Arabidopsis thaliana: one gene and its partners. The protein of the gene in region 3 interacts with the protein of the main gene of each other region in a biochemical or structural test. Each region holds a gene or a part of one and is shown on either strand. Other genes may lie near its edges.

Region 1 (5,904 bases), on a different chromosome or scaffold from region 3:
CGACTGGTAACAGAGAAAGCATCTCCACAATCCCCAAAATTCTTTCAACACTTGCTCTCCATTAATCTTTTAGATAATAAACCTAATTGTTTCTGTTTTGTTTTTGTTTCTGTGAGATTCTTCCGAGGCTTGAAGCTCAATAGCTATGGCTTCTCTTTCAGTCTCTTCCTCTTCAACCATCATCGATTCAAGAGCTCCTCCTTCTCGACTAGCCTCCGCCTCCGCCTCTTCTCCGTCGTGCATTTCACTTCCCACACTTCCGATTCAGTCTCATACCCGTGCCGCTAAAGCCACTGCTTACTGTTCGTTTTCCATAAATCTGAAGATTTTTCTTTTCACTTTTAATTTCGAGTTTAAAGTTTCAAACTTTCGAAATGGGTTTTGGTTTTTAGGTCGGAAGATTGTGAGGAACGTTGTGACGAGAGCTACTACTGAAGTTGGTGAAGCTCCTGCCACTACTACCGAAGCTGAGACTACTGAGTTACCTGAAATCGTCAAGACTGCTCAAGAAGCTGTAAATACTCTTACTTTATTTATACAATGATGATTCTACCTCTTGCTTCTGGGTTACATGTACTGAATTTGGTTGTTTGGATTGAAGTGGGAGAAAGTGGATGACAAGTACGCTATTGGTTCTCTTGCCTTTGCTGGTGTAGTGGCTCTTTGGGGTTCTGCTGGAATGATTTCGGTGAGTAGAAGAATACTACTTTCTTCTTAAAACCCTAGTGTTAAATTTCCTTTATTTGATTCCAAAATTTGTTATTGTGAAACAGGCAATCGATAGGCTTCCATTGGTTCCTGGTGTTCTTGAACTTGTAGGCATCGGTTACACAGGAGTGAGTTTCTTCTTCTCTTTGTATCACTTGAACCAAAGCTCTCATGAACCTGTTTTGAGGATATAGATGATTCATCACTTCACTTTTGGATTTAGGATTAGTTCTCTGAATTTAGAATCCGAACATCTGCAATTCATATGGAGATATGATATCAGAAATTGATTGCTGCTTCTCGCTAGTGTTTCAATCTTAAAAGACGTGTGTAGTTTGTTTCAATTGTGTGATGGACCTTATTAACATTTGGTTTTTCTATGGCAGTGGTTCACTTACAAGAACCTGGTCTTCAAACCAGACAGGTTAACCAATTCTCTCTTTAACTCTGTGTTTGGTTGCATGTAATACTGAGAATGGAAGACTCAAATTCTCGAGGAAATTGTTTGTTATCTGTTTCAGGGAGGCTTTGTTTGAGAAGGTCAAGAGCACATACAAAGACATATTAGGGAGCAGCTGAATCAAAGGAGGAAGAAGAAGAAGAAGAGCCTTTTTGAGGCCATTCATGAATTGGAATGAAGGATATCAAAAGAATCTAACACAAAGGCCACGTCCTTCCTTCAATCTTTCCTTCTTGTAACTAAATAATTTTCATCCTTTCTCTCTCTCTGTCTCTGGTCTTTTTTAGCTCAAAGTATCATCCATTTATGTCAAAGTGTTGTAAATTCCTCAAGACTATATATGAGATGTTTTGTTTCATTTTCCAAAATTTCAAACTTTGTCCCCATTTAGTCTTCTACCCTTCATGCATGGTTAGCTTAGCTTAATGCTGAACTGTTGAATAACGATATGGGCCTTATGCTAAAAGAACAAAACCTTATGGGTCTAAAAAAAATAAGCCCAATATAAAACTATGGCCCAAATAAGTTTAGGTCCATTAGAGTGTGAGAATAGCGCGTGTAGTGAACCGCACGAGAATGCGCGTTCGATTGTTGGTGAAGTAGTCGTCTAGATTCCCGGGTCCACTGATGTTTCTAGTGTATCAGACACGTGTCGACAAACTGGTGGGAGAGATTAACGATCTTAAGTAGGTCCCACTAGATCAAGATATTATAACGAATTGACCTTTTTAACCTTTCAGGTAGTCCCGGAACTCGTGGCCTAGAATACAAAGAAGGTTGTGAACAAGTTGATGTTAAGATGGACAAGAATGTAACTTGAACAAAAGCTGAATCATCTCTTCAGCCACTAGTATGTTGACATATGGCAGTTTCTTTTGTAGCCTCGAAATAAATAAATTAAAAAGTTTGAGGTTAAAGATAATTATAGTGGCTGAGATTTCTCCATTTCCGTAGCTTCTGGTCTCTTTTCTTTGTTTCATTGATCAAAAGCAAATCACTTCTTCTTCTTCTTCTTCTCGATTTCTTACTGTTTTCTTATCCAACGAAATCTGGAATTAAAAATGGAATCTTTATCGAATCCAAGCTGATTTTGTTTCTTTCATTGAATCATCTCTCTAAAGGTACTTAAGATTGATTTATTGTCATGGTCTTTCTTATTGTTTGATGAATAACTTGACTTGATTGTTTTTTGTTTTGTGGATTAGTGGAATTTTGTAAAGAGAAGATCTGAAGTTGTGTAGAGGAGCTTAGTGATGGAGACAAATTCGTCTGGAGAAGATCTGGTTATTAAGGTAAATTAAACTAAATTTTAGGGGGAAGATGATTGTTTTAGGTGTCAAAGATTGAGAATTTTAATGAAACTTGATATAGACTCGGAAGCCATATACGATAACAAAGCAACGTGAAAGGTGGACTGAGGAAGAACATAATAGATTCATTGAAGCTTTGAGGCTTTATGGTAGAGCATGGCAGAAGATTGAAGGTTGATTTTTATTTCCCTTTATATGTCTTATTTTTTGTGTTTGCAGAGGTTTGTCTTCAAACTGATTTGCTTTTTTTCATTTGGACAGAACATGTAGCAACAAAAACTGCTGTCCAGATAAGAAGTCACGCTCAGAAATTTTTCTCCAAGGTAAAATCGGTTAATTTTGAAATGATGTTCTCATCTTCATTGGCTTAATGCTTAAGACTTATTGAAAGCCAGGCAAGTTTTCTGCTTCTTTTGCTTCTTAGTCAGGAGATAGATAGATTACGTTTTTAGAGTTTAGTAATGAGCAATAAGTCTTAAAATAGTTGGAGAAATGACGAGATGTAATCGTTTTCTTTTGTTTATGCCTATATCTTGTTAATCCACAAACATGTACATAGATTCTTCAGAAGAATGTTAGTTTCTTTAGATTCTTCAGATAAACTTGTGTCTTCTTACCGATTCTGAGGTAGTGGCAAAAGTGGGCTGAGTGCTAGAAATTTTTGAATGTTCCTTGTGATAAGCCATAGAGGTAAACCATTTTTGATTTTCCAGTTCTGTCATTTAAACTTGTTAGTGTCATTAGATTTTTGTTTGTTTACGTTTGTTTAGAGGGTAACAAAACTACTCTCATCTCTCTCAGGTAGAGAAAGAGGCTGAAGCTAAAGGTGTAGCTATGGGTCAAGCGCTAGACATAGCTATTCCTCCTCCACGGCCTAAGCGTAAACCAAACAATCCTTATCCTCGAAAGACGGGAAGTGGAACGATCCTTATGTCAAAAACGGGTGTGAATGATGGAAAAGAGTCCCTTGGATCAGAAAAAGTGTCGCATCCTGAGGTGATTTTCATGGTCATATGGCATCTTTTTGCAGTGTGTCACATTGCTCCTCATGTTATTAATACAGATTGTGTGCTTCGTTTATAGATGGCCAATGAAGATCGACAACAATCAAAGCCTGAAGAGAAAACTCTGCAGGAAGACAACTGTTCAGATTGTTTCACTCATCAGTATCTCTCTGCTGCATCCTCCATGAATAAAAGTTGTATAGAGACATCAAACGCAAGCACTTTCCGCGAGTTCTTGCCTTCACGGGAAGAGGTAAAAAACAATCTTTCATTGCTATTTGAGGTTTTAAGACGATTAGTACTTTTCATGAAACTAAAACCGTGGGGGAATAACAGGGAAGTCAGAATAACAGGGTAAGAAAGGAGTCAAACTCAGATTTGAATGCAAAATCTCTGGAAAACGGTAATGAGCAAGGACCTCAGACTTATCCGATGCATATCCCTGTGCTAGTGCCATTGGGGAGCTCAATAACAAGTTCTCTATCACATCCTCCTTCAGAGCCAGATAGTCATCCCCACACAGTTGCAGGAGATTATCAGTCGTTTCCTAATCATATAATGTCAACCCTTTTACAAACACCGGCTCTTTATACTGCCGCAACTTTCGCCTCATCATTTTGGCCTCCCGATTCTAGTGGTGGCTCACCTGTTCCAGGGAACTCACCTCCGAATCTGGCTGCCATGGCCGCAGCCACTGTTGCAGCTGCTAGTGCTTGGTGGGCTGCCAATGGATTATTACCTTTATGTGCTCCTCTTAGTTCAGGTGGTTTCACTAGTCATCCTCCATCTACTTTTGGACCATCATGTGATGTAGAGTACACAAAAGCAAGCACTTTACAACATGGTTCTGTGCAGAGCCGAGAGCAAGAACACTCCGAGGCATCAAAGGCTCGATCTTCACTGGACTCAGAGGATGTTGAAAATAAGAGTAAACCAGTTTGTCATGAGCAGCCTTCTGCAACACCTGAGAGTGATGCAAAGGGTTCAGATGGAGCAGGAGACAGAAAACAAGTTGACCGGTCCTCGTGTGGCTCAAACACTCCGTCGAGTAGTGATGATGTTGAGGCGGATGCATCAGAAAGGCAAGAGGATGGCACCAATGGTGAGGTGAAAGAAACGAATGAAGACACTAATAAACCTCAAACTTCAGAGTCCAATGCACGCCGCAGTAGAATCAGCTCCAATATAACCGATCCATGGAAGTCTGTGTCTGACGAGGTACTTACTTGGACTAAAGATCAACTTCCTTTATTTCAAATCATTTTCTCATATAAATATTGTACATTCAGGGTCGAATTGCCTTCCAAGCTCTCTTCTCCAGAGAGGTATTGCCGCAAAGTTTTACATATCGAGAAGAACACAGAGAGGAAGAACAACAACAACAAGAACAAAGATATCCAATGGCACTTGATCTTAACTTCACAGCTCAGTTAACACCAGTTGATGATCAAGAGGAGAAGAGAAACACAGGATTTCTTGGAATCGGATTAGATGCTTCAAAGCTAATGAGTAGAGGAAGAACAGGTTTTAAACCATACAAAAGATGTTCCATGGAAGCCAAAGAAAGTAGAATCCTCAACAACAATCCTATCATTCATGTGGAACAGAAAGATCCCAAACGGATGCGGTTGGAAACTCAAGCTTCCACATGAGACTCTATTTTCATCTGATCTGTTGTTTGTACTCTGTTTTTAAGTTTTCAAGACCACTGCTACATTTTCTTTTTCTTTTGAGGCCTTTGTATTTGTTTCCTTGTCCATAGTCTTCCTGTAACATTTGACTCTGTATTATTCAACAAATCATAAACTGTTTAATCTTTTTTTTTCCAACCTGGAAAGAACTTCACTCAAGGGGCTCTTGTTCTTGATATATGCAAACGACAGAGTTCCAAAACGTAATCTTAGCCCATCCATCACCCTTAAGTTGTCTCATAACTCATAAGTAAGCACAAAAGCACCACACAAATAAGCAAACTCTACTTCCTTATGTCATCACATAAATAGAAAGGCAAGCAGCCAAAGGCAAGCAGTAGCAAGTACAACAGAGTTGTTACAAAAAAGGATTAAATAAAAACAGAAGTTATAAGGATAAATCCAACCACACCCATGAAATGACCCCATATCTTTTATTTGGCCGTCTCCTTGTCTTCAAAGCTGCTTTTGCACCTCACCAGACTCTTTTTCAGCTTGCTATAATCATCTGCCATCTCTTTCTCCATCCCTTTTTGTTGTCTGAGGGATTCACGTCTCATCTTGCGGAGAACTAACAGCGTGAGGACCTGTGATAAAGGTTCTGCAACGTCGAAACCCTGCTCCTCGAACATTTTAAATGTCTCTCTGTAGACATCTAGTTCACTTTTTGGAGTGTCCTCACACATACCATCTACTGTCTTTACACAATCGATAAAAGCTGCAGTCAGATA
Region 2 (6,781 bases), on a different chromosome or scaffold from region 3:
AGTTACAAACATCATATCTTTATAAATTAACTTTTTAAAAATTATAAGATTAGTATGTAAGAACTTAAGATATTAATGTGGGTTTTTTTATGTGGTTTTTTTTTATCATATATTATAGGGAGTGGTAGGACAAGCAATGACGACGGTTGCAACAACATGGGGGATTAAAAAATTAGGAGCTGTGTTCGCATCGGCGTTTTTCCCACTTACTCTCATTTCGGCTACTCTATTTGATTTCCTCATTTTACACACTCCTTTATACCTTGGAAGGTATCTTCTTCGATAATCTCTATCAAATTAATTTTGTCTAGGCATAACACTAATTACAACATTAAAACTTTTGGTCTACAGTGTGATTGGATCACTAGTGACCATAACGGGTCTCTACATGTTCTTGTGGGGGAAGAACAAAGAAACGGAATCATCAACTGCATTGTCTTCAGGAATGGATAACGAAGCTCAATATACTACTCCTAATAAGGATAACGACTCTAAGTCGCCCGTTTAATTTAATTATATTGTTGTTAATGTATGTTTCAAATAACTGTTATGTCCTAGTTAATGTTTAAGGAGAGGTAATGAGAGATAAAATTTTATAATTCCAAACATCAACGTAGAGATTTGTGAAATATTTAAATCCGGTTTGTTTGGTTATTTTGGAATAATTTCGGTTATTTCAATTAGATTCGGGTAGTTCAGTTCTTCGGTTAGTAACAAAAACTGGTCTATTGTTTTTTGGTTAACCTAGAACCGAACCGAACTAACCAAAGTTCTCGGTAACCTTTTGTAGTGGCTTCCTGACCGATGAGGCCGTCAACTTCAAAAAATATTGCAACTAAGCTCTGCTCCAACATTAGAGTATCTATAACTATGTTAAACGCTTCTGCTTTAAGCAAAACACAGTTGTAAGCTGGAATCTAAAAAAATGAGTGTAATGATGTTTGCTGAATTCCATAAATAAATACTACATGCTTCGGTTAAGACTTAAGAGTAATTAATGTTCCTTAATTTCTACAAATGTTATATAAGCAAGTTGACCAAAGTTCTCGATGATAATTTGTTGAAATTTTGTATAGGCATTGCATGATATTATATGAAAAGATGAAGATTTTTATACAGACGCAAGTTCCCCGAGCAGTCCAAGCTTGTCGGGTTTAATTCAACTATGTTAATACGCAAATTTATATAGAATAGGCGTAAAAGTGAGGCCCATACAATGTCTTATTACAAGCCCAGATCCAGCATAGCCAATACGTAGCAGTACACCATCACAGCTGGCACCGTACCCACTTGTTTAGTCGTCCAAGTTTGTACCAATAATCGTTTACACGTAAGCAATTGTGGACCACCACACTCACTTTTACCTACGTGAGCTTCACATTGAAGCTTCTGGCTCGTAGAGAAGCAACTTGAGATATACCAAAAAGTGCAGTAGACAGCCACTACAATATCACCACGTGTCGATCTGCGATGACTTCTGTTTTTTCCATTTATACCCTTGGTGCTGTTCCAGCCTCAAATAAACTTTTCAATTAAAATTTTTCCAAAAATTAGGGGAAAAATTGTTGTGGCTGAGATTGCTTCTGGCTTCTCTTCTTCTTCTTCCAGTCTTCTTCAGCCTAAAACAGTCTTCCTTCTTCTTCTTCTTCTTCTTCTTCTTCTTCTTCTTCAGTTATCTTCTTCCTTCTTCTCTCTGTTTTTTAAATTTATTTTTAGAGATTTTTTTTTGTTTTGCTTCCGATTTGATTATTTCCGGGAACGATGACTTCTCCGGGGAGTTCCCGGTGAGATGATAAGTCAGATTGCATACTTGTCTCCTCCATGGCTACTCTCAAGGGTATAACAGTTTACATTATGAGCAGTTTCTAGGATTCCTATAACATACTAAGATCTCTGTTTGGCTGCTGAGAAACTTATAGAAGCGATTAACTAAATCTTATTAGCTCTAAAAGTTAGCATAAATGATACGAATCTGGTGATTGATTACTGATATGAAGATTTGTGAAGGTTTTGGCTGCGGTGGATTCGTTTGGGTGAGGCTTTTGTGAATAATAATAAAGGGAATTCTTTTGAGTTCTGCTGGAGAAGCAGCGACTGTTTCACGGTGGACTTTGAAAAGATTTCTCTTTTGAATTTCGCTCATCACTCTTATCTTAGTGTTTGTGGATAAATATTTCTCATAAAGTACTTTCTCCTTTGCAGTTTCTCTAGAATCTAAAGAGGTTATCACAACGGCTTTGCAATTTGAAAACTTTCATGTTTGGGGAGATCAAAGATGGTTTCTTTTTTATACTTTACTTGTTAGAGAGGATTTGAAGCAGCGAATAGCTGCACCGGTCCTGTTATGGATACTAATACATCTGGAGAAGAATTATTAGCTAAGGTACTACTACTAATGAAATAAGATTGGTGTTTTTTTGTTTGAGAGATTTGGACTGTTGTTGTGTGAAGATTTGATTTTCTTTTGGGTTTTCAAATGTTTAGGCAAGAAAGCCATATACAATAACAAAGCAGCGAGAGCGATGGACTGAGGATGAGCATGAGAGGTTTCTAGAAGCCTTGAGGCTTTATGGAAGAGCTTGGCAACGAATTGAAGGTCGAAAGTTTATCTTTTGAATGTTTAGTTTGAACTCTTTGAGATTTTATATTCCTTTGTTTAGGAGTGTCTTTATCTCCTCTTGATTGGGAGATTCCTTCTTTTCTTTTCATTTTGTGTGCAGAACATATTGGGACAAAGACTGCTGTTCAGATCAGAAGTCATGCACAAAAGTTCTTCACAAAGGTAAGTTGATGATCCTTTCAGATCTTTTTAAAACACTTTCGTTATCTTGTGTAAAGGTACCATTTTTTCATATCGATCTATGACTATGTTTAGAAGTTGCCTGTCACTGTCTGGAAAAGATGATAGAAGGTTCTTCTTATTCTTCCTTTTCTCTAATTGCTTCAACTAGAAATTAGGCGTCTAAGTAGAGTGTGTTTTGCTAAGTAGAGTTGGTTGGTTCCGAGGATTGCATCTCGATCGTTTTTTATCTTTTTCATTTACTCTGTTCAACTAAACTTAACATTAGATTGGTCTGTCCAAACTTACTGTTAGAAAAAACTCTACAGAGAGCTTTCTTCTCTGAGACCATAAGATAGGTCCAAATTAACATAACTAGCGTTGCATTTGGATGACACAATTGTCCCATATTCACTAAAGTCGATGAAATAATGGGATTGCATGAATTCTTTTAGCCATCCATATGGAAACCAAACCTCCTTGCCCTATAGGACAGGACATGAAGTAACTCTATCATCTCTACCCCGAAAAATTCGGGTCAGTATAAGACTTTTTTCAACCTTGGTGATGTGGTCAATTTCATGAATCTCAGGATTTCACATCTGAGCTGCATTTTTCCATCTCCAGTTTGGAAAAGCTCACAGTTTTTGGTTCACATTTCAGTTGGAGAAAGAGGCTGAAGTTAAAGGCATCCCTGTTTGCCAAGCTTTGGACATAGAAATTCCGCCTCCTCGTCCTAAACGAAAACCCAATACTCCTTATCCTCGAAAGCCTGGGAACAACGGTACATCTTCCTCTCAAGTATCATCAGCAAAAGATGCAAAACTTGTTTCATCGGCCTCTTCTTCACAGTTGAATCAGGCGTTCTTGGATTTGGAAAAAATGCCGTTCTCTGAGGTTTATTCCTGATCTTTCTCTTCTTCATTTTATCATTTTGGTGGTCTTGTGATAGACTTCTTATGTTTTATTTTCTGGTTAGAAAACATCAACTGGAAAAGAAAATCAAGATGAGAATTGCTCGGGTGTTTCTACTGTGAACAAGTATCCCTTACCAACGAAAGTAAGTCTAAGAAAGCTACAAAATTGTAGTCGAAGAATCTGATGAATGCTTTCAAGTGCATGACAAATTATTTGTTCCATTCTGATTTTTAGCAGGTAAGTGGCGACATTGAAACAAGTAAGACCTCAACTGTGGACAACGCGGTTCAAGATGTTCCCAAGAAGAACAAAGACAAAGATGGTAACGATGGTACTACTGTGCACAGCATGCAAAACTACCCTTGGCATTTCCACGCAGATATTGTGAACGGGAATATAGCAAAATGCCCTCAAAATCATCCCTCAGGTATGGTATCTCAAGACTTCATGTTTCATCCTATGAGAGAAGAAACTCACGGGCACGCAAATCTTCAAGCTACAACAGCATCTGCTACTACTACAGCTTCTCATCAAGCGTTTCCAGCTTGTCATTCACAGGATGATTACCGTTCGTTTCTCCAGATATCATCTACTTTCTCCAATCTTATTATGTCAACTCTCCTACAGAATCCTGCAGCTCATGCTGCAGCTACATTCGCTGCTTCGGTCTGGCCTTATGCGAGTGTCGGGAATTCTGGTGATTCATCAACCCCAATGAGCTCTTCTCCTCCAAGTATAACTGCCATTGCCGCTGCTACAGTAGCTGCTGCAACTGCTTGGTGGGCTTCTCATGGACTTCTTCCTGTATGCGCTCCAGCTCCAATAACATGTGTTCCATTCTCAACTGTTGCAGTTCCAACTCCAGCAATGACTGAAATGGATACCGTTGAAAATACTCAACCGTTTGAGAAACAAAACACAGCTCTGCAAGATCAAAACTTGGCTTCGAAATCTCCAGCTTCATCATCTGATGATTCAGATGAGACTGGAGTAACCAAGCTAAATGCCGACTCAAAAACCAATGATGATAAAATTGAGGAGGTTGTTGTTACTGCCGCTGTGCATGACTCAAACACTGCCCAGAAGAAAAATCTTGTGGACCGCTCATCCTGTGGCTCAAATACACCTTCAGGGAGTGACGCAGAAACTGATGCATTAGATAAAATGGAGAAAGATAAAGAGGATGTGAAGGAGACAGATGAGAATCAGCCAGATGTTATTGAGTTAAATAACCGTAAGATTAAAATGAGAGACAACAACAGCAACAACAATGCAACTACTGATTCGTGGAAGGAAGTCTCCGAAGAGGTAAAACAAAAACCAATGATTCATGGATATTGCAGAGTTCTTCTGGGAACTAACACTATCAAAATATTTTCAGGGTCGTATAGCGTTTCAGGCTCTCTTTGCAAGAGAAAGATTGCCTCAAAGCTTTTCGCCTCCTCAAGTGGCAGAGAATGTGAATAGAAAACAAAGTGACACGTCAATGCCATTGGCTCCTAATTTCAAAAGCCAGGATTCTTGTGCTGCAGACCAAGAAGGAGTAGTAATGATCGGTGTTGGAACATGCAAGAGTCTTAAAACGAGACAGACAGGATTTAAGCCATACAAGAGATGTTCAATGGAAGTGAAAGAGAGCCAAGTTGGGAACATAAACAATCAAAGTGATGAAAAAGTCTGCAAAAGGCTTCGATTGGAAGGAGAAGCTTCTACATGACAGACTTGGAGGTAAAAAAAAAACATCCACATTTTTATCAATATCTTTAAATCTAGTGTTAGTAGTTTGCTTCTCCAATCTTTATGAAAGAGACTTTTAATTTTCCTTCCGAACATTTCTTTGGTCATGTCAGGTTCTGTACCATATTACCCCATGTCTTGTCTCTTGTCTCTGTTTGTGTATGCTACTTGTGGTCTATATGTCATCTGCTACTACTGTTAATTAACCATTAAGCAATGGATTTGTCTTTATTCTTCTTTTTAAAAATTGTGGATATTGATTGATGAGATCATAAATAGTTTATAATGATAAAAGATGAACTGTACAAAAGTTACAACTTAGAAAGTTTTGTCTTTTGGTGTTTCTTCATAATGATTCTCTCTGTTTGTTTCAAACTTGAAGGCGCTCGTTGCCCAACGCCAAATGCCCAAAGGTGCTAGGCTGGGCCTTAAAGATTTTACTCACACTACTTGGGCCTACATTACAACATTTTCCCTATTACAAGCTTAAGTAATAGAGGCCTAAAGAAGGCTTATATTGTGTAGCTAGTTTATACAATATTTCAATCTCTTAATTTGGTTTACTGATGAATGAGTAGATATACAATTTTTTTGTTCTCACTGAATGAGCCATATCCTTGCTACCAAACCAAATTATTTGTGAAAAATGTAATGCAAGTATCCTACATAGATTATAGGAGTGACCGCAAAAACACAAACTATGTTTCGTAATAAAAAATAAAGTATTTTTAAAAAGATGTAAATCTTTGTAAATAATTGAGTGGTAGTGTAGTGAGTGTTACGATAATATAAAAGTTTGATCCGTATATCTCGGTGGTGACTCATATATACATTTTACAATCACTTGCTAGACCAACGGGCTTCACTTGTTTCTCTCCCAAAGTTTCTTCATCATCCTTGCGATAAAGAAAACAACAATCGGCTGTTTCGTTTCGATCCAAAGGTACGTTTTTTTTTCTTTTGTCATCGTTCTAAGATCATCAAAGTTTGATGCTTTTCCATGTTTAATCTTCTGGGTATTTTGTTGCTTCAAATCTCAATCATCCATCGAGTCTATAGAGAAAAAGTGAACAGATTTGGTATACATCTTTTCAGTAATCGATACGTTAACAATATATGAATCCATAATTTGGGTATGATCGATCTCAAGTCTGCTTTAAGGATTGTTTTCCCTTGTGGGGTCTTGATTCGCTTTTTCCATTTAATACTCTTGATTCGATTGATTCTCTCTCTGCCAATTAGGGTTATGATGTTAGATTCAGTCAATATCAATGAGTGATGAAACGTTCTGATTTTGACAGATGAGTGAAGAAACTAAAGATAACCAGAGGCTGCAGCGACCAGCTC
Region 3 (5,670 bases):
AGATTTGTGGCGCGTGGTGATAACTCGCTTATAGTGCAAGTGGTTATTTATTTTCCAATGAATAGTTAATTATTTACCATACAAATTGTCTTCTAATGTGGGCTTACTAATTACCTTACGGCCTTTTCGTTTTCAGGCCTAGGAAGTTAGGCCCATTTTACATATTTCTTGTCGTTTTCATTTTTAATGTTTTTCTGCTCATTCGTATTACTATCGCAATTTTTTTTAACACTAAAGTAACTAACAAATTCATCTTCGTCAACTAGACTAATTTTAGTTTTTAACAAACCACTTTAATTTTGATTGATTTTTTTTTCTCTTTATGAATTTGCAACATAATCAACATTTTTATTTCTTAACTAACTTTAATTTTCTTCACTCTTTATTTCTTAAAAGATATCGAATAAGTTTAGATACAAATTTATTTAAGTATCTTATTCGATATATTGTACAATGTCTTTGAAAAATAAAAAAAAGAATTCATTATGGCAACGAAAATATAAAACAAAGATTTCATTAACGAAAATACAAACCAAAGTTTTTATTTAATTAAGGTTTTAATTAACGTATTATTAAACATGGAAATTTATTTTCCAAAATTACTGGTACTTTAATGTAAAAGATTCTAATTTTATTTTAATAATGAAAAAATATTTTCTTATAAAATCATTTAAATATTCAAAAAATAGTTAAATAATATTAGTACGTTTTTTGTTTATTTTGGTAAAAACAATTGCGATAGTAGTAATACGAATGAGCAGAAAAACATTAAAAATAATTAAATAAAACTAGTACGTTTTTTTGTTTTATTGTAATTCTGTTTTTTTTTTTTTGGTTTGATACAACATACATGAAAAATATATTTAAAATATAAGACGTTTCAGACATTCGAATTCAGGACAAATTGTTTAATAAGTTGGACAGAAGAAACATCACCTTGATTTAAAAAAAATACTTTGAAGAAAAGATGAACATTACCATCATCATCATCAGTAAGTTTATAGACAGAGAGATCTCTGTGTTTCATTGACTTCTCATTCTGCTGGTTTCTGCTGCCCTAACTTGGGCGAAGTAAGCGTGCGCCTGTCAACAAATCAACAAACCATATTAATTTACCTAATATGTGATTTATATACAAATACAAAGGCTTCTAATTTGTTTTCTGAAGCATGCGTACCATGGCTTCTTTTGCAGTTAATCTGTCTTGATGATCATACCGAAGTAGCTTGTCGAGGAAATCAATCGCCTACACCGTTTTAAACAAAACCCTTAAGAACCCAACTAAACCATTTTCTATACAAGGAGTTAAGGACTCAAGGAAAGGAGTAAACCTCGGGTGAAACTAAGTGCTGATTGTCTGCGTTGATGAATTTGGACCAAGGTTTCCTGCTATGCCTGTAGGTTGTGTTCCATTGAACCAGAGAATGATACAACACTAATTCTCAGCTTCAGCTCATTACATGGCAATGCCAAGCTCGGAGATTACAATATAATGTTTAAGTTTCACATACCGCCCAACAAGTGCTTCCAGTTGTGGATCAAGTTCTAACTGGTACTTGTTCAGATAAGCATTCAATTCGTCAGTCCCAAGCACCTGGTGAATAAGAAGGAGAGTTCATGACGACAATGGAACGGAGATCTCCCATATTCTAATACTGAATTACAAGTAATATACCTTGGCGATTTTCACTAGCTGATCCTGGTTGTCATGGCCGTAGAAGAAAGGTTCCTTACGGAATATCTAATATGGGTAATGAGGAAAAATTAGGTCAAAATTAGATCACCACAAGTTCATTTCTCAGAAAAGAAAGGAAAGCCGTTCAAATGTTATATCATGAACTTACCATCCCTGCAAACATACAGCCAAGACTCCACATATCCAATGAATAGTCATAGTCTTGCAAGTCCACAAGAAGTTCAGGTCCCTTGAAATATCTGATACACATTAGGAGAGATAAACATTAGAGTGAAGCTAGGCAACAGCGAAAAAAATAAAATAAAGGGTATGAAGTAAAACCATACCTTGAGGCAACACGGACATTATACTCTTTTCCAGGGTGGTAAAACTCAGCAAGACCCCAATCTATAAGACGAAGCTTACGCAGCTCATGGTCAATCATAACATTATGAGGCTTGACGTCTCTGTGCATTATTCCTTGTGAATGGCAGAAGTCTAGTGCCTGCAACAAGTAGTCTTACCAAATGTGAGTATGAAGTCAAATGGAATACTTATATAATCCAACCAATACCAGAATTTATACCTTCAACAGCTCATAGATGTAGTAACGAATGTCGTAATCAGTCAACGTAGGATACAAAACTTTAAAGTCTGTGCTGTTAACATATTCAAATATCAAGCTTGGAGTTTTCGAATGTTGATCTCTAACAACATCAAGCAGCTTGACAATATTTGGCCCACCGCATAGGTTCTGAAGTATTTTAATCTCTCTTCTTATCTACGAAAAAAAGATCATAGAGAGATTCAAGAAACAACCCCAATCATCCAAAACAATGTAAAACAATTCACCTTCTTTTTCTTAACAGGTTTGAGGATTTTGATAATGCACTTCTCCTTGCTGTTCACATTTATACCCTCGAAAACTTCACTATATTTTCCACGCCCTACCTTCCTTACTACCTCATAATCATCTTGCTCCCTGAGAGAGCAAATAACAAGATCAAAATGTTAAACTAAAAAATCATTGCTTTACAATAGAAGAACTAAAAGGCAAAATAAGCACAACTAAAAAATCAAATTCATCAATAGAGATAAAAGTAAAGTTTTTTACATTAGCAGCATCAATTTGATTAGATTAGCTTCATCAAGAAGCAAATCCAGAGCAAGCTGAATTCAAATTCAATACAAACACTACAAAAATCGATTAAATTACTTTAGCAACTACCAATTCAGCTAATTCTAGGGTTTAACAATCTTACCCCCATTGAACAATGAGTGACTCGTAATCCCAATAATCCTTGGGTCGAATCACATTGACTTCGGTGTACACACGAGCTTTCGACATCGCCCGCGTCTGGTTAGAATCAGAGATCTCTACGAGAAAATCTGGATCGATCGTAGTACAACCGGAAACTTCCGAGACAGCTCTCGCTGTGGGAGTGACGATAGATGAGCGTAGGATAGGAGAGTGCGCCGTTGGCGCACGTAAGGCTAAGACGGCGCACAGTAACAAGAGACGTCGAAGAGGAGAATCGAAGAAGAGGAAGAACAAGAAGAAAAGCGTATCTATCATTCACTACGCTCTTCCGCACCAGATTAACTTTTTGTTTTCCTTTTTTCGTTTGCGTTATTTTTGCGCCAACTAAATTTGCCATAAAGGCCTGACATAGTATAATGGGCTTTATTTATGGCCCAATATATTTGGACCCAAATAGTCCACCCGCTTATATACATGTTAGGGTTCTTATTTTTGGGAAGCTTTTGAAATTTCGGATTTGCATTAAGCGAGGATTCGATCAGTGATAATGGAGCTAAGTCTCGAGAAAGTCTGCAATAATGGGCAAGTAAAAGGTGGAAACTTTCTATCTGTGTCCCCACGATTCATCAAGGAGGCTGCGACAAAGCCATTTAAAGATTGTTCAGACTCCTATCACTATCAATGGGTTCTCCGACAAATGTAACAGCTAATTGGTTGATACACGCGAAGATTACGCTATGGTTGTTTTAGGAGTTGAGGCATTTGATGGATGAAGAGGCTCAATGTATAGTGTGGAAGACTGCAAAAAGCTATTGATCTTGAAGGGGTTGAATTGGTTAACAATACTGATTTTTGATTCCAATGTTGAGAACTCGAGGGAAGATTCTGTCGTCTTTACTCATTTAGCTGACCAAGCCATGAAAAACAACTAGAGGTAAAAACTCAGATTCATGTATCATCCTCTGTTTTTATTGTTTGCAATTATTTGAAAATTTTGAATTTTTCGTTGAGGACGTCTTATATTATTCAAGAGACACAATTTATTGCAAGATTGAGTAGAGTCTCAATCAAAATGTTGAGGCATATAGTGACTTCAATTATCAGAAAAAAAGATGATAAGACTCTCTGTAGGGACAAATATCCCATCATTCATGTTCTGTCACAAAACCAAGATTCTGCAGCTTACTTATATACTCCTTCCTTCTCTTCTTCTTACCACTAAACCAATTTATAGCTAATATTTGTAAGGGATATATACATTTGTGGAGAGGAATCAATACTCTCTTTTTTATAATTTGGAATTATTAGTTTGGTACAAAGATGTGTGTCTGATCCACTTGGACTCTTCTCAATTTTTAAACCAATCCATTACCACACACACTCCCTCCTTAGACTGACTCCCTATCTTGTACTCTCCATTAGAATGACATAACTACCCTGTTCTGTCTTGTTCATTGCTTTTGGTGGTAAGGGTAGTTTATGGTTTTCTTTGTTTGGAGAATTTGAGTTCTCTTTTTCTGTTTGGTCACAATTATCAAAAGAGAGGAAGAAGCTCATTTTCTTGATCTTATTCTCTCTCTTTTAGTAGTACATTACGGCACGTCTTCTTCATGAGAAGGACTTGAAATAGTGTTCCATGGTGAATTTCTTGAGTGAAAAGAAACTGCGAGCTAAGTGTTCGTAATATGTCAGCAAAGAAGAAAGATCTTTTGTCCTCAGCTATGAAAAGAACCAGTGAATGGTTTTTTATTCTCTTCATAAGATTATTTTGTTTCTCAATCCATTTTTTGTTTCCAGTCCTGAAGTAGAAATCGTTTATAATACTCTTTATTACATCGTTTCAGGATTTCTTCTCAAGAAGTATCTAGTGATGTCACCGTTCATGTAGGAGAAGCTTCGTTTTCACTGCACAAGGTAGATTATAGATCTGTATTTAGCGATCAATCTCTCTGATGTAAAGCCAATGACATGATCACATTCGTGCCGATTCGGTTGTTTTCTCTCTGAATCTTGCAGTTTCCACTCATGTCAAAATGTGGGTTTATCAAGAAACTTGTGTCGGAATCAAGCAAAGATTCAGATTCCACTGTTATCAAGATACCAGATATTCCAGGAGGCTCTGAAGCATTTGAGCTAGCGGCTAAGTTCTGCTACGGCATTAACTTTGATATGAGCACAGAGAACATTGCCATGTTGCGATGTGCAGCGGAGTATCTAGAGATGACAGAGGAACACTCTGTGGAAAATCTCGTTGTAAGAGCCGAAGCTTACTTGAATGAAGTAGCTCTCAAGAGCTTATCGAGTTCGATCACAGTCTTGCACAAATCAGAGAAGTTGTTGCCCATTGCTGAAAGAGTCAAACTTGTAAGCCGTTGCATCGATGCAATTGCTTATATGACTTGTCAAGAGAGCCATTTTTGCAGTCCTTCTTCAAGTAATAGCGGTAACAATGAGGTTGTGGTTCAGCAGCAGAGCAAGCAGCCTGTTGTTGATTGGTGGGCTGAAGACTTAACGGTTCTTAGGATTGATTCGTTTCAACGTGTCCTGATCGCGATGATGGCTAGAGGGTTTAAGCAGTATGGACTTGGTCCAGTGCTTATGCTCTATGCTCAGAAATCTCTTCGAGGGTTGGTGAGTTTCTTACAAACACACATTACCATTTTGGTTGAGTCTCTTCTTTTGTTGAAGTTCCATAAACTAGGGACAAAGAATGATGGGTATCCGTTAAAAGTTT

The links.
Region 1: the proteins of CKA1 (region 3) and CCA1 form a complex in vitro, tested with the Arabidopsis thaliana proteins (one study listed by BioGRID).
Region 2: of the proteins of CKA1 (region 3) and LHY, one has a biochemical effect on the other in vitro, tested with the Arabidopsis thaliana proteins (one study listed by BioGRID).

Annotation. Positions count from the first base shown.
Region 1 is NC_003071.7:19,243,584-19,249,487, forward strand, and holds CCA1 (circadian clock associated 1), read left to right. Parts: upstream 1-2,007; 5' UTR 2,008-2,289; intron 2,290-2,373; 5' UTR 2,374-2,421; coding exon 2,422-2,460; intron 2,461-2,539; coding exon 2,540-2,651; intron 2,652-2,739; coding exon 2,740-2,801; exon of another isoform or gene 2,802-3,168; intron 3,169-3,279; coding exon 3,280-3,474; intron 3,475-3,561; coding exon 3,562-3,735; intron 3,736-3,818; coding exon 3,819-4,700; intron 4,701-4,771; coding exon 4,772-5,134; 3' UTR 5,135-5,332; downstream 5,333-5,904. Other genes in the region: PSI-P (photosystem I P subunit), read left to right, coding at 146-302, 393-514, 602-688, 774-836, 1,095-1,132, 1,230-1,287; DUF4 (hypothetical protein (DOMAIN OF UNKNOWN FUNCTION 724 4)), read right to left, coding at 5,608-5,904. UniProt on the Arabidopsis thaliana protein: Transcription factor involved in the circadian clock and in the phytochrome regulation. Binds to the promoter regions of APRR1/TOC1 and TCP21/CHE to repress their transcription. Binds to the promoter regions of CAB2A and CAB2B to promote their transcription.
Region 2 is NC_003070.9:32,625-39,405, reverse strand, and holds LHY (Homeodomain-like superfamily protein), read left to right. Parts: upstream 1-1,648; 5' UTR 1,649-1,837; exon of another isoform or gene 1,838-2,007; 5' UTR 2,008-2,033; exon of another isoform or gene 2,034-2,202; 5' UTR 2,203-2,344; coding exon 2,345-2,383; intron 2,384-2,484; coding exon 2,485-2,596; intron 2,597-2,720; coding exon 2,721-2,782; intron 2,783-3,234; coding exon of another isoform or gene 3,235-3,316; intron 3,317-3,406; coding exon of another isoform or gene 3,407-3,442; coding exon 3,443-3,676; intron 3,677-3,758; coding exon 3,759-3,839; intron 3,840-3,931; coding exon 3,932-5,005; intron 5,006-5,078; coding exon 5,079-5,414; 3' UTR 5,415-5,425; exon of another isoform or gene 5,426-5,744; intron 5,745-5,816; 3' UTR 5,817-6,027; downstream 6,028-6,781. Other genes in the region: UMAMIT28 (nodulin MtN21 /EamA-like transporter family protein), read left to right, coding at 119-270, 352-508; PPa1 (pyrophosphorylase 1), read left to right, coding at 6,736-6,781. UniProt on the Arabidopsis thaliana protein: Transcription factor involved in the circadian clock. Binds to the promoter region of APRR1/TOC1 and TCP21/CHE to repress their transcription. Represses both CCA1 and itself.
Region 3 is NC_003076.8:26,880,133-26,885,802, forward strand, and holds CKA1 (casein kinase alpha 1), read right to left. Parts: upstream 3,948-5,670; 5' UTR 3,252-3,947; coding exon 2,938-3,251; intron 2,658-2,937; coding exon 2,528-2,657; intron 2,457-2,527; coding exon 2,262-2,456; intron 2,181-2,261; coding exon 2,023-2,180; intron 1,936-2,022; coding exon 1,845-1,935; intron 1,742-1,844; coding exon 1,676-1,741; intron 1,595-1,675; coding exon 1,512-1,594; intron 1,396-1,511; coding exon 1,332-1,395; intron 1,247-1,331; coding exon 1,178-1,246; intron 1,084-1,177; coding exon 1,024-1,083; 3' UTR 834-1,023; downstream 1-833. Other genes in the region: AT5G67385 (Phototropic-responsive NPH3 family protein), read left to right, coding at 4,622-4,677, 4,781-4,850, 4,953-5,567. UniProt on the Arabidopsis thaliana protein: Casein kinases are operationally defined by their preferential utilization of acidic proteins such as caseins as substrates. Phosphorylates casein in vitro. The alpha chain contains the catalytic site.